2 linked regions of the Tribolium castaneum genome follow. The protein of the gene in region 1 binds, or shares a complex with, the protein of each later gene. Links are inferred from orthologs where the notes say so. Each region holds a gene or a part of one and is shown on either strand. Other genes may lie near its edges.

The links. Proteins that work in one complex are often made in the same cells at the same time.
Region 2: Nup75 (region 1) and PCID2 share a complex: the UniProt entries of both Drosophila melanogaster proteins name them as parts of the nuclear pore complex. The link is inferred for Tribolium castaneum from reciprocal best matches to the Drosophila melanogaster genes Nup75 and PCID2.

The regions. Positions count from the first base shown.
Region 1 is NC_087399.1:876,128-880,879, reverse strand, and holds Nup75 (nuclear pore complex protein Nup85), read right to left. Parts: upstream 2,801-4,752; 5' UTR 2,692-2,800; coding exon 2,668-2,691; exon of another isoform or gene 2,623-2,667; coding exon 2,181-2,622; exon of another isoform or gene 1,961-2,180; coding exon 1,707-1,960; exon of another isoform or gene 1,661-1,706; coding exon 1,538-1,660; exon of another isoform or gene 1,484-1,537; coding exon 1,265-1,483; exon of another isoform or gene 1,132-1,264; coding exon 1,016-1,131; exon of another isoform or gene 966-1,015; coding exon 429-965; exon of another isoform or gene 376-428; coding exon 171-375; 3' UTR 121-170; downstream 1-120. Other genes in the region: oxidized purine nucleoside triphosphate hydrolase, read left to right, coding at 1-115; uncharacterized protein LOC660898, read right to left, coding at 2,803-2,890, 2,936-3,372, 3,422-3,665, 3,886-4,250; mRpS23 (small ribosomal subunit protein mS23), read right to left, coding at 4,281-4,569, 4,611-4,752. UniProt on the Drosophila melanogaster protein: Component of the nuclear pore complex (NPC) that seems to be required for NPC assembly and maintenance. Required for nuclear import of phosphorylated Mad via importin msk.
Region 2 is NC_087397.1:8,459,642-8,463,896, forward strand, and holds PCID2 (PCI domain-containing protein 2), read right to left. Parts: upstream 2,366-4,255; 5' UTR 2,211-2,365; intron 2,145-2,210; 5' UTR 2,133-2,144; coding exon 936-2,132; 3' UTR 847-935; downstream 1-846. UniProt on the Drosophila melanogaster protein: Required for the export of nuclear mRNAs and involved in mRNA trafficking in the cytoplasm.

The sequences.
Region 1 (4,752 bases):
GTTAAAAGAGAAATTTTTTGCGGCCAGAGTGACTTACAGTGACCCTGACACAATCACTGATACGAAAATTGAGGAATTTGAGGACTTGGCGAGTGCACTTAAAGTGGCCAATTAAAAGTATTATTGTTTACGTAAAGTATTTATTTAATAAAAAATTGTTAAAAAAATCATCATTTTAATTGGGCTTCGTGTACCAAAGCTCGTGCTAAATTCCGGGTCGCTGACAGTCTCAAGATCGGAAGTTTGTCTTTCAAGTCTTTGGTTTTTTCCTGCTCTTCCAAACACTGCATAATGATGTAGGTATCAGTTGAGGAAAAAACCATTTTTTCGCACTCAAGTAGCGGTATTGCGTCAGTTAATAGAATACTCCAGAAACTACAAGATAATCTTTAGATAAAAAACCGCAATTTTAAGTGTTTTCCCCTTACAAGTTTGGTATTATTTTCGACTCAAGTAACGAAACGAGCAAATTGGCGGCTTCTTTGTACTCGTTCGCTTGATATAACTTCTGGAATTCGTAATATTTGCCTAAAAACATCAACCTATCGCTTGCCAAAATACACGATCCGAGATTATCCAAAAGATCAATACTGTTCAAATCGCCACTTTCGGCATACTCTCGCAGAAATTTGTTCGATAAAAACGACACAAAAGTGCCGTCTTGTGATTTGAGGGCCCAGGCGAGGGCGTGTCCCAGACGCCCCCGGTTTTTACAAGCCATTCCTTGCACTTTACAAATACTTTGTGCCGTTTCGGTTAAATTCCGGTTCAGAGCCTCTCTCACAATTTTCTCAGCCCGCATTTCGGAATTTAGAGGCAGTCTTGCAAGTAGTAATTTTGTGACTTCAGGGCCATCGCTGGGACAGTGGTCCAAGTAGCTTAAACCGACCTGCCATAGTGACTTATGGCCCATTAAAAGCGAGCCATAATCGATTAAAAATGACTCGCGCAATTTATCAGGGTGGCTGAAATAATAATTGTAAAATAAACGGTTTAAAAAAAATCGGGGACTCACAAATTTTCAATAGTTTCGATAGTTGTGTCGCTTAGACGGCCTGAATGGTAAAGTAGGTCGGTTAAGTGGCTCACAAACCAGCCACTGTCTGTCATATTTTGGATTTCTTTAATCACCTGGCAAAGAAATGTTAGAATTTATGTGTACATTTGCAAAAAAGTGTAAAACTAAAAGTATAGCCGAAAAATACAGGATTATTCAAAAGTCTCAGTTTTATTTAATAACTTAACAGAGGTGGCGCCATATTACCTGTAAAATATCAAACTCCATTGCTGCCAACAACATCCTATCCAAATGCTTAATTCTATTCCCTATGGACATTTTCGTGATACACTGTTTGGCAAACTGTCCCAACTCAAACGATTTAACAGTAGGTTGGGTAAAAAATAACCACGCGGCTAACATTTCATACCACGTCTCGCAATACTGCTGTATTTCCCCCCATGCAATTTCGTTACCAACCGTAAGCTACAAAAAATCTTATAAAGAAAACTACCAACTCAAACACACTTAAAACAAAACCTTCATAATCAAATTGAGATTATAACAAGAAATAAACATTTTCGCATCAATTTTCGATTGAACATCCACGACCCAATGATTCCATTGTAGATTAAATTCAGCGATTGAAGTCCCACTAAACATCTAAAGTCGGCCATGAACACCTGTCAATTTCTCCCAGCCTACTTACGTTATAAACCGGCATTGCTCTCAGACACTGATCCACAATTCTGAAAGGTTGTGACTCAGCTTCTGAGTGTAATTTAAGTAGGGCCCTAACGACCTTGACCCGCCCTTGTAATAGTGACCCAATGACAGTTTCCCAATAGTCAGGGTGTGACTCCAAACCACCCAAATCCCCAGCCAACATACTTGCCGCATTTCGGTCATATTTCGGAAAATGAAACCGAATCCAGTCCAGTAAGTGGGGCAAAACAATGTTGCCTAAAACCCCAACTGTTTGGCAAAAATCCCCAAATTTTGTGTCACTACAGAGGTCTATAACTTAGGAGGAAACGATGTACGAAATTACCGGATTTTCTGAACCTAAAAAAGTCCGGAATTTTTTTTAAATATAGTTAACGATAAAACTACCGAGTTCAGGACGTTTTATTTGTACGTCGTTTCGCATCCTAGCTTTTAGATATCCGTGTCACTAACCCACCTGGGACCGCATCAACAAATAAGATTTCACACAAGTGCCAAATACACTCAACTGAGTAAAAAATCGTAATGTAATTTTGCAATTCTTCGCGATAATCGCCATCGGCTCGCATCACCTCGTCTTGCAAATTCTCCAAACAGGCCCTTATTATGGACCTGTACTGCCGGCTAAGTTTCAATAATTCGGCCTTGTGGTCGCCCTCAGTGGCTACAAGGGCTTGAAGGGTTAGAAACGTCCCGTTGGCCTCATTTACCAATTTGCGTAAAATTGGTTTGAAGAGAATAATGTCGGGGCGCAGCTGAAACACAGAGGCGTCCGAGGGGGCAAAGTGACTCGGTTTATCAACTTTTGGTGTTTTCTGGTGGCCGAAAACACCGAATTCGTTGACGGAAAGCCACGAAGCCGCCACTCCAGCACGTCGGCATAACTCATTTGGAATAACCTACAAGTTATTATGACCTAACCTCAAAAATTGATCGCTGCTTACGAAAGTTTTGGCGGTATTGTCCATTAATACGGGTCGGGAAGCGTTAAATAACACGAAATTTTGCGCCTTTTCATTCAAAAAAACCGTATTTTTTTCGAATTTTGTTTGAGGAGAGCGGTTAGCCGGGTCGGTAATTTAGAAATCTGTTCGGTTACTAGGGTTACTTTCGTTTTGGGTTGGTAGCGAGAACGGTAACGGTAGGGATTTAACTTCGCCGTCAATCCTGTGGGCGGGTATTTTGAATTTGTTATATTGGGGTGATACTCACGTTGAGGCCTTCTCCTGGTGCGAGTGTGACGTTGAGCGCGATTCTGTCGGTTTCTTGCGTACGAAAAATCGCATAATGAAGTCTTTTTCTTTGAGCGTTTGAGTGTCAATGCTCCTAATTTCTGCCTCTCTGGCTTCCTGCATGCGGGCTTGATCTGCGAGGAGCTTGTCAATTAGATCCTTAATTTGGCCTCTGGAATGTTCAATTCTGGAGGTCCACTGTTTCATTAAACGGTAGTTTTCCCTTGCTTTGTTGCTCCGATCGTTTACTTTCACACTAGTCATGTCCCGGAGCATCGTATGGCGAACACTTTGACTTTCGAAATATCGCACAATGTAATTTGAAAGGGTGCTTAAGTAAAGCATCAAGTGGTTTATGTTCTCGTCAGTGCTTACTTTATTTTTTATCAAATAATTGACAATAAACCAGTCCACTAACTGCAAGTCGTATTTTGCCAAAACAAGTTAGAGAATTATCGGGACTTACCCGAAATTCAGTCACTGTGATTCCCTTAAGTGCGTGGCTAACTGCAATTTGTTTGATTAAATCGAGCGCTTGTTCGATGCGTCTCTGTTTGAGATAAGTTAAAACCATTTCATGAACGTGAAGTAACGAGACGAAATGAGTGATCATTCGTCTTTGGATAGTATATGTGTCTGTTTGCTGATTCGGGTTCCGGGCACTTGCAGCCCCAAACTTTTCTACCACTTTATCAGGCATTTTCAATGTCCTGCCAAAAAATAGAAAATAACCCGGCGCATCCACCATTTTTCAAATTCAAATAAGTGTTTAAATACGTTCTGGAGTAAGCTAGTGTTGTAAAAAAAACATATGATACGTAAAATGAGTCGCTGAATTCACTGGAATAAACCGTTTTGTTCTACGAATTTTAGTTTTTGAGTTATGAATTTTTTGAATAGGCAAAAAAATTAAATTAAATAAAACAGTACCCTGCGTGGATGTCGCTAACAATTTGCCCCAAATGCCTCTTCAGAAGCGACAGCACTAACTGTGAGGTTCTGATGGTCAAGGGGGCCAAATGATCAGCTGTGAAAGTCTGAGACTTGATGTACATACTCTGCAGTTCGCCGTAATGAATCAATTCACTGTCACACTTCGACACCGAAGGCTTTTCAGACAAATGAAACGAGGGGGAAGTACATATCGAAGGATAGGTGATTGATGGTGGAATAGTTTCGATACTCCCGGTATAAAAAATATGGGAATAAGTGCTTTGTTCGCTACCTCGTGGACGACTCAATTTTTTACCCATTTTAATTTGACGTAAAATAAAACAAAGTGTCACAAAAAACATTTATTAAGACTAGATTTTAACAAAAAAATACTACGATTTAAATATATCAACAACATTGATTTTTAATTTGGCCTTTTGCTCCTTCATTGACTCCTTAAACGCCGTACTTAAACTAACATCGTCTTCCTCCTTTTTGACTTCTTGGTGGCTCTTCTTCAACAAATCAATTGCCTCCTTGTAGATTTGTTCTTCAGTCGCTGACTCGCCATACTGTGCTTGAATTGTTGTATAACTCTCGATGAATTTCTGCGTCAGGGTTTTATATTTCGTGTCGAGTAAATGCGTAGCGCCGATTTTTTTATTATTGCGGTGAAAAATACTAAACTGTGATGAGTCAAACTATTCGGTTACGTTACTTACGCTCGTATTTTGTCCTCTTCGTAGAAAATTTGTTTAATGGGGATATTGGGCGCAGGCCGGTCGTAGTTTGGCTCTTCTTTGGGGGGAAAAGCCTCGTAAATGTCAAACCAAAGGGGGCGATCCTCCCACCTCACGCCCCCCG
Region 2 (4,255 bases), on another chromosome or scaffold:
CATGAATTCCATATTTGTTTTTATAATAACATGTTTTCACTAAATCGGACTAAAAAAGCAAATAAAAATAAATTGAGTTTATCATTACATCATTACATTATTTTGCATTTTCAAGCTGTCAGTACAAAACGTAATTTTTTAGCAATTAATATTCAAATGAATTAAACAATACAGAAATACAAATTTTATTGCATTTTCCGGCGTTTATTAAATACGTTTTTTGAGAAGAATTATTAAATTAGGTAAAATGAAATTTTTGTGGAAATATTGATTTGTAAAAAAATTATTTAATCATAGAATGGATTAACAACTATATAATAGTGACATTTTGTTTGGAAATAATTTATAATAAAAAACTAAATAGTTTTTGACTATGATAAAATTTCCATATAAAATGTATGAGTTTAATTTTCGGGTAACAAAGTTACCTATGGGAAAATAAATCCTTTTGTGCAAAATTTCGCAATATGTAATATAATATTTACAGTACATTTAAAGGATGTATTCGGTATTAACTTCGTATCTATTATGTAAAGCTTAAACGAATATTTTTTACCTATATGGGCATAATCATTAGGTGATTTAATATGCATTATTGATTTTCAAAACGATTCGTATCGAGATTAAATCTGAGCAATTTAAAAAAAAACAACTGTAGTTGTGACCTCTTCGAATAACAAAAGCAATTTTTAATAAAATAAAAATTCCATAAACATTTTTAATGCGGTTTTTATTATGCATACAACATTTAGCTTTTTTCTTATGACAGCAGGGTCGCTTAGTCACTTCGCAGTATAGAGATTTATAGACGTTACGTTTATGCTTTAATAAAACACAAAAAACGGGTAGTTTTAACAGTTTATTTCATATGCAATTACAAAATAGTTACAATGCAGGTAGAGAACGACGAATTATACAAACTTATAAAAACTTAATTATGATAGACTTGTAAGTGGCGGAAATGGATTCTGTTTACTAACAACAACCTTCCTATGTTGATGCGAAATGTATCCTTTAATTTTCCCTTCATAAATAAGATTAGCAACAATACATTCTGTTTCATCCAAATCAACATCAGTCTGTCCTAAATACACTAAAGCAGTCTGCAGTGCTTCAATAGGGATTTGATGCGTATTTAGAATCAAATACACCTTTTTAAACAAATTTCTATATGCTATGATTTTCAGTTTATCAACAATCAGATATATTCCACACTTGATGAAAAAGGTTTCGTGCTTTTCCATAATCTCGTCAAACGCTTTGAGATTACCCTGACATACAGCTTGTACTAAATCCCACAACTGGATGACGTCATACTTCTCCAGAACCTCCTTGCTTGGGATATACCCCAACAACATTTTCACAGGAACTAAGTAAATCAATATAAGCGTTTTGTTCTTCTTACTGAGCTTGTGACAATTTTCAAAAGCATAAGTTAAATACTCATCGGCGACTTTATAATCGCTATCAAACATAGCCTTGCGCCCCACAAAATACCGATATGTGATTTGTTGGCTCAGAGAAAAACTCTCTTTAAACGGTGATGACTCAATCGCTCTGATTAAGGGCTTGCACAAATGTAGCTTATTTATCCGAAAATAAACCTTAAACAATTGATTCACCAAAGCCAACATCCCTATCCTCTTTGTATCCTCCTCTGCTGACCTATTATCAGCAGCACACACCCTGAAACAACCCATCAAGCATTCTGCTGCCTTCTCGAGCATTTCGCCGGGCTTCTCATTAATTCCGCTCCTCTGATTCTCGGCTAATTGCGCCAAAAGACGCAAGTCTAAGCACAAGACATACATAATAGGCAAAGACCAATTCTCCTCCTTTTGCGATTGCAAGATCTTAGTGAAAGTTTGCGTCAAATTGCTCTGAATGTTATAAGCCGATAGATAGTCACTCTGGCTTATGGCAAACAGGCATTTTAGGTGCAAAATCACTAATTCGTCGATAGGGGCGGTCAAAAAACGCTCAACTATTCCCTCAGGACTCTCAATGTGGTAATTGGCATAACCTGCATGTTCGTGGCGAAGAGACAGAAAACTGGCCACTTTTGCACCGTCCTGAGACCGCCAATACCTTTCCACAAGTTGTAGGTAATGAGCAACGGACATAAAAGTCATTTTGCTGAAAAACTAAGGTTAGGGGCGTCAGTTAACCGAAACCGCTTCATTTATAAATGAAATTGAACTGTTACTCACGTGATTTAGGCACAAGTGTTATATTTGTTGCTTCCGTTACGCAAAGAACATTATGTCTTACGAGTTTGACGAAAAAATGTTTGAATAAGCTTGAAAATAAACAAGTCTTTGCAATGGTGATAAAATGGCCGATAGGGAGCGGTGCGATTCATACAAGTAAAATCAATAATAATTTCTGTGACCTAACAAAATTTAAGATATTTGAGCTTAATTCGTGTTATATGTCCCATAGTACTAATAATAGGGATTAAATTAATGCAAATCCTGGAAGTAAAATGCCATAAAAACGAAAACTGTTCGTAGACCAGTTCGCAAGCCGCATGTTTTCTTCCCACACAGAGATGGCGCTCCGAGGAACAGCTTGATGCAACTTGACCGGGAACTTATCCAACTTGATTTTATTAAAAAATTTTTAGGAAATTATAAACACAGTCGTGAAAACGTTTTATTATTCTAGTCAAGGATAAATCATAATTTAAAAATCCATTACACAGGAAAGTAATAACTTCAACAATAATGAATTTAAAGCGCCTAGTAATGGAATTTATGGAAAGAAATTATTTACTTCTTTGCTATTTTAAACTTTAATAATGCTTCACGTGCCAGACCCATAAATCAGTATAATAAGCAATTTAAACGTTAATTGTAGTTTACTTTTAGCTCCTTATGAAACAAAAAAATTAAGTACTGTTTATTAGAAACTAAAGCTACACATTACGAACTTAAAAGTATTTGTTTGTATAGTGCTACTTAAAAAACAAAACCATATTTTACAAAAAAAAACTTATAAGTATAAGTAGGTAGACGACGTTTAAATTACAAACAAGTTATGTTTTAAATGATGACCGTACAAAAGCATATAAAAGGTTTTTATGTTCATCTATAAAATTTAAAAACAAATTTTACAGGGTGTCCCAGCAAAAGTATATTTTTACTGCATGACAAGCTAAATAATTACACAGAATTCCAAATTTGCTTTAAATACTTTTAGTATGCCTTATTATGTACCATAAAAAGTTATTTTTTCTATATCTACATTTTATAATTTTAAAATAAAACAATATAAAAAAGCAATATTCTATATCTTGAATGTCTGTGTGATTAATGATTATGATAGTTTGAGAAATGCAACGTAATTATTAACAACTTAAAAAAGAATCAAAAATAAAGAACTATTTAACAGAATTGACACGTTTACTGAAATATGATTCTGATGTAATTTTTTTAGCTGAATTTAAATCCGAAAGTTTTTTTTTTGATTTGGAATAGCCTTCACTGTAAAAAAGACGTTTATGTAAAAAAATTCAAAAATTAATATAAAGCAAATTTGTGTTCACATCTTCATTTCCTCATATTTTTCTTCTGAGTAAAGCTAGAAACTTGAAAATATTTTTAGGCGAACAGAGGGCTCACATCCATATCTAAATTCTGTAAATATTTTATGTAAATATTTTTCCATTTAATGTTCAATAGTAGTGCACTTAATCAACTCGTATTGCATTAAGTTGGTTTGGACTAGTTGATTTCGTTCCGTTTATAAACTATGAAAAATCGAGCCTTCTTTAGATGATTCAGAGCACAATAAAAATCAATTTGTTGAAGTCTGATAAGAATTTGCACTAGACATGCAGTCTGGAGCAGTCCAACACGATAGAAATTTAAACAAACTGGGTCAATCAGTTCGCATCCTTGTAGTCGTAACTTCATTTTATTCAACTGCGAGTAAATAAATTCTTTTGTAGAACGAAACAATTATAAAATTTTGTAGCTCACTGCCAAGGCAAATAGCACACGCAAAAAGCCAAGATCATGTTTCCCCGTTAATTAACACGAAATTCCGCATGCAAATTCGTTGCATAACATGACTTAACGCGTATTATTACACGTTTTGGGACCATTGATAAAAACTGAACGTCAGTTTAATTTGTGATCAATTGATTAATTCTCTAGCATGCTGTTTAGGCAATGTTTACTACATGCTGACCAAACTAATTGGTAATAAGCGGTGAAAGCTTAGGACCGATCACGTAGTTGGCCCTAAAAAA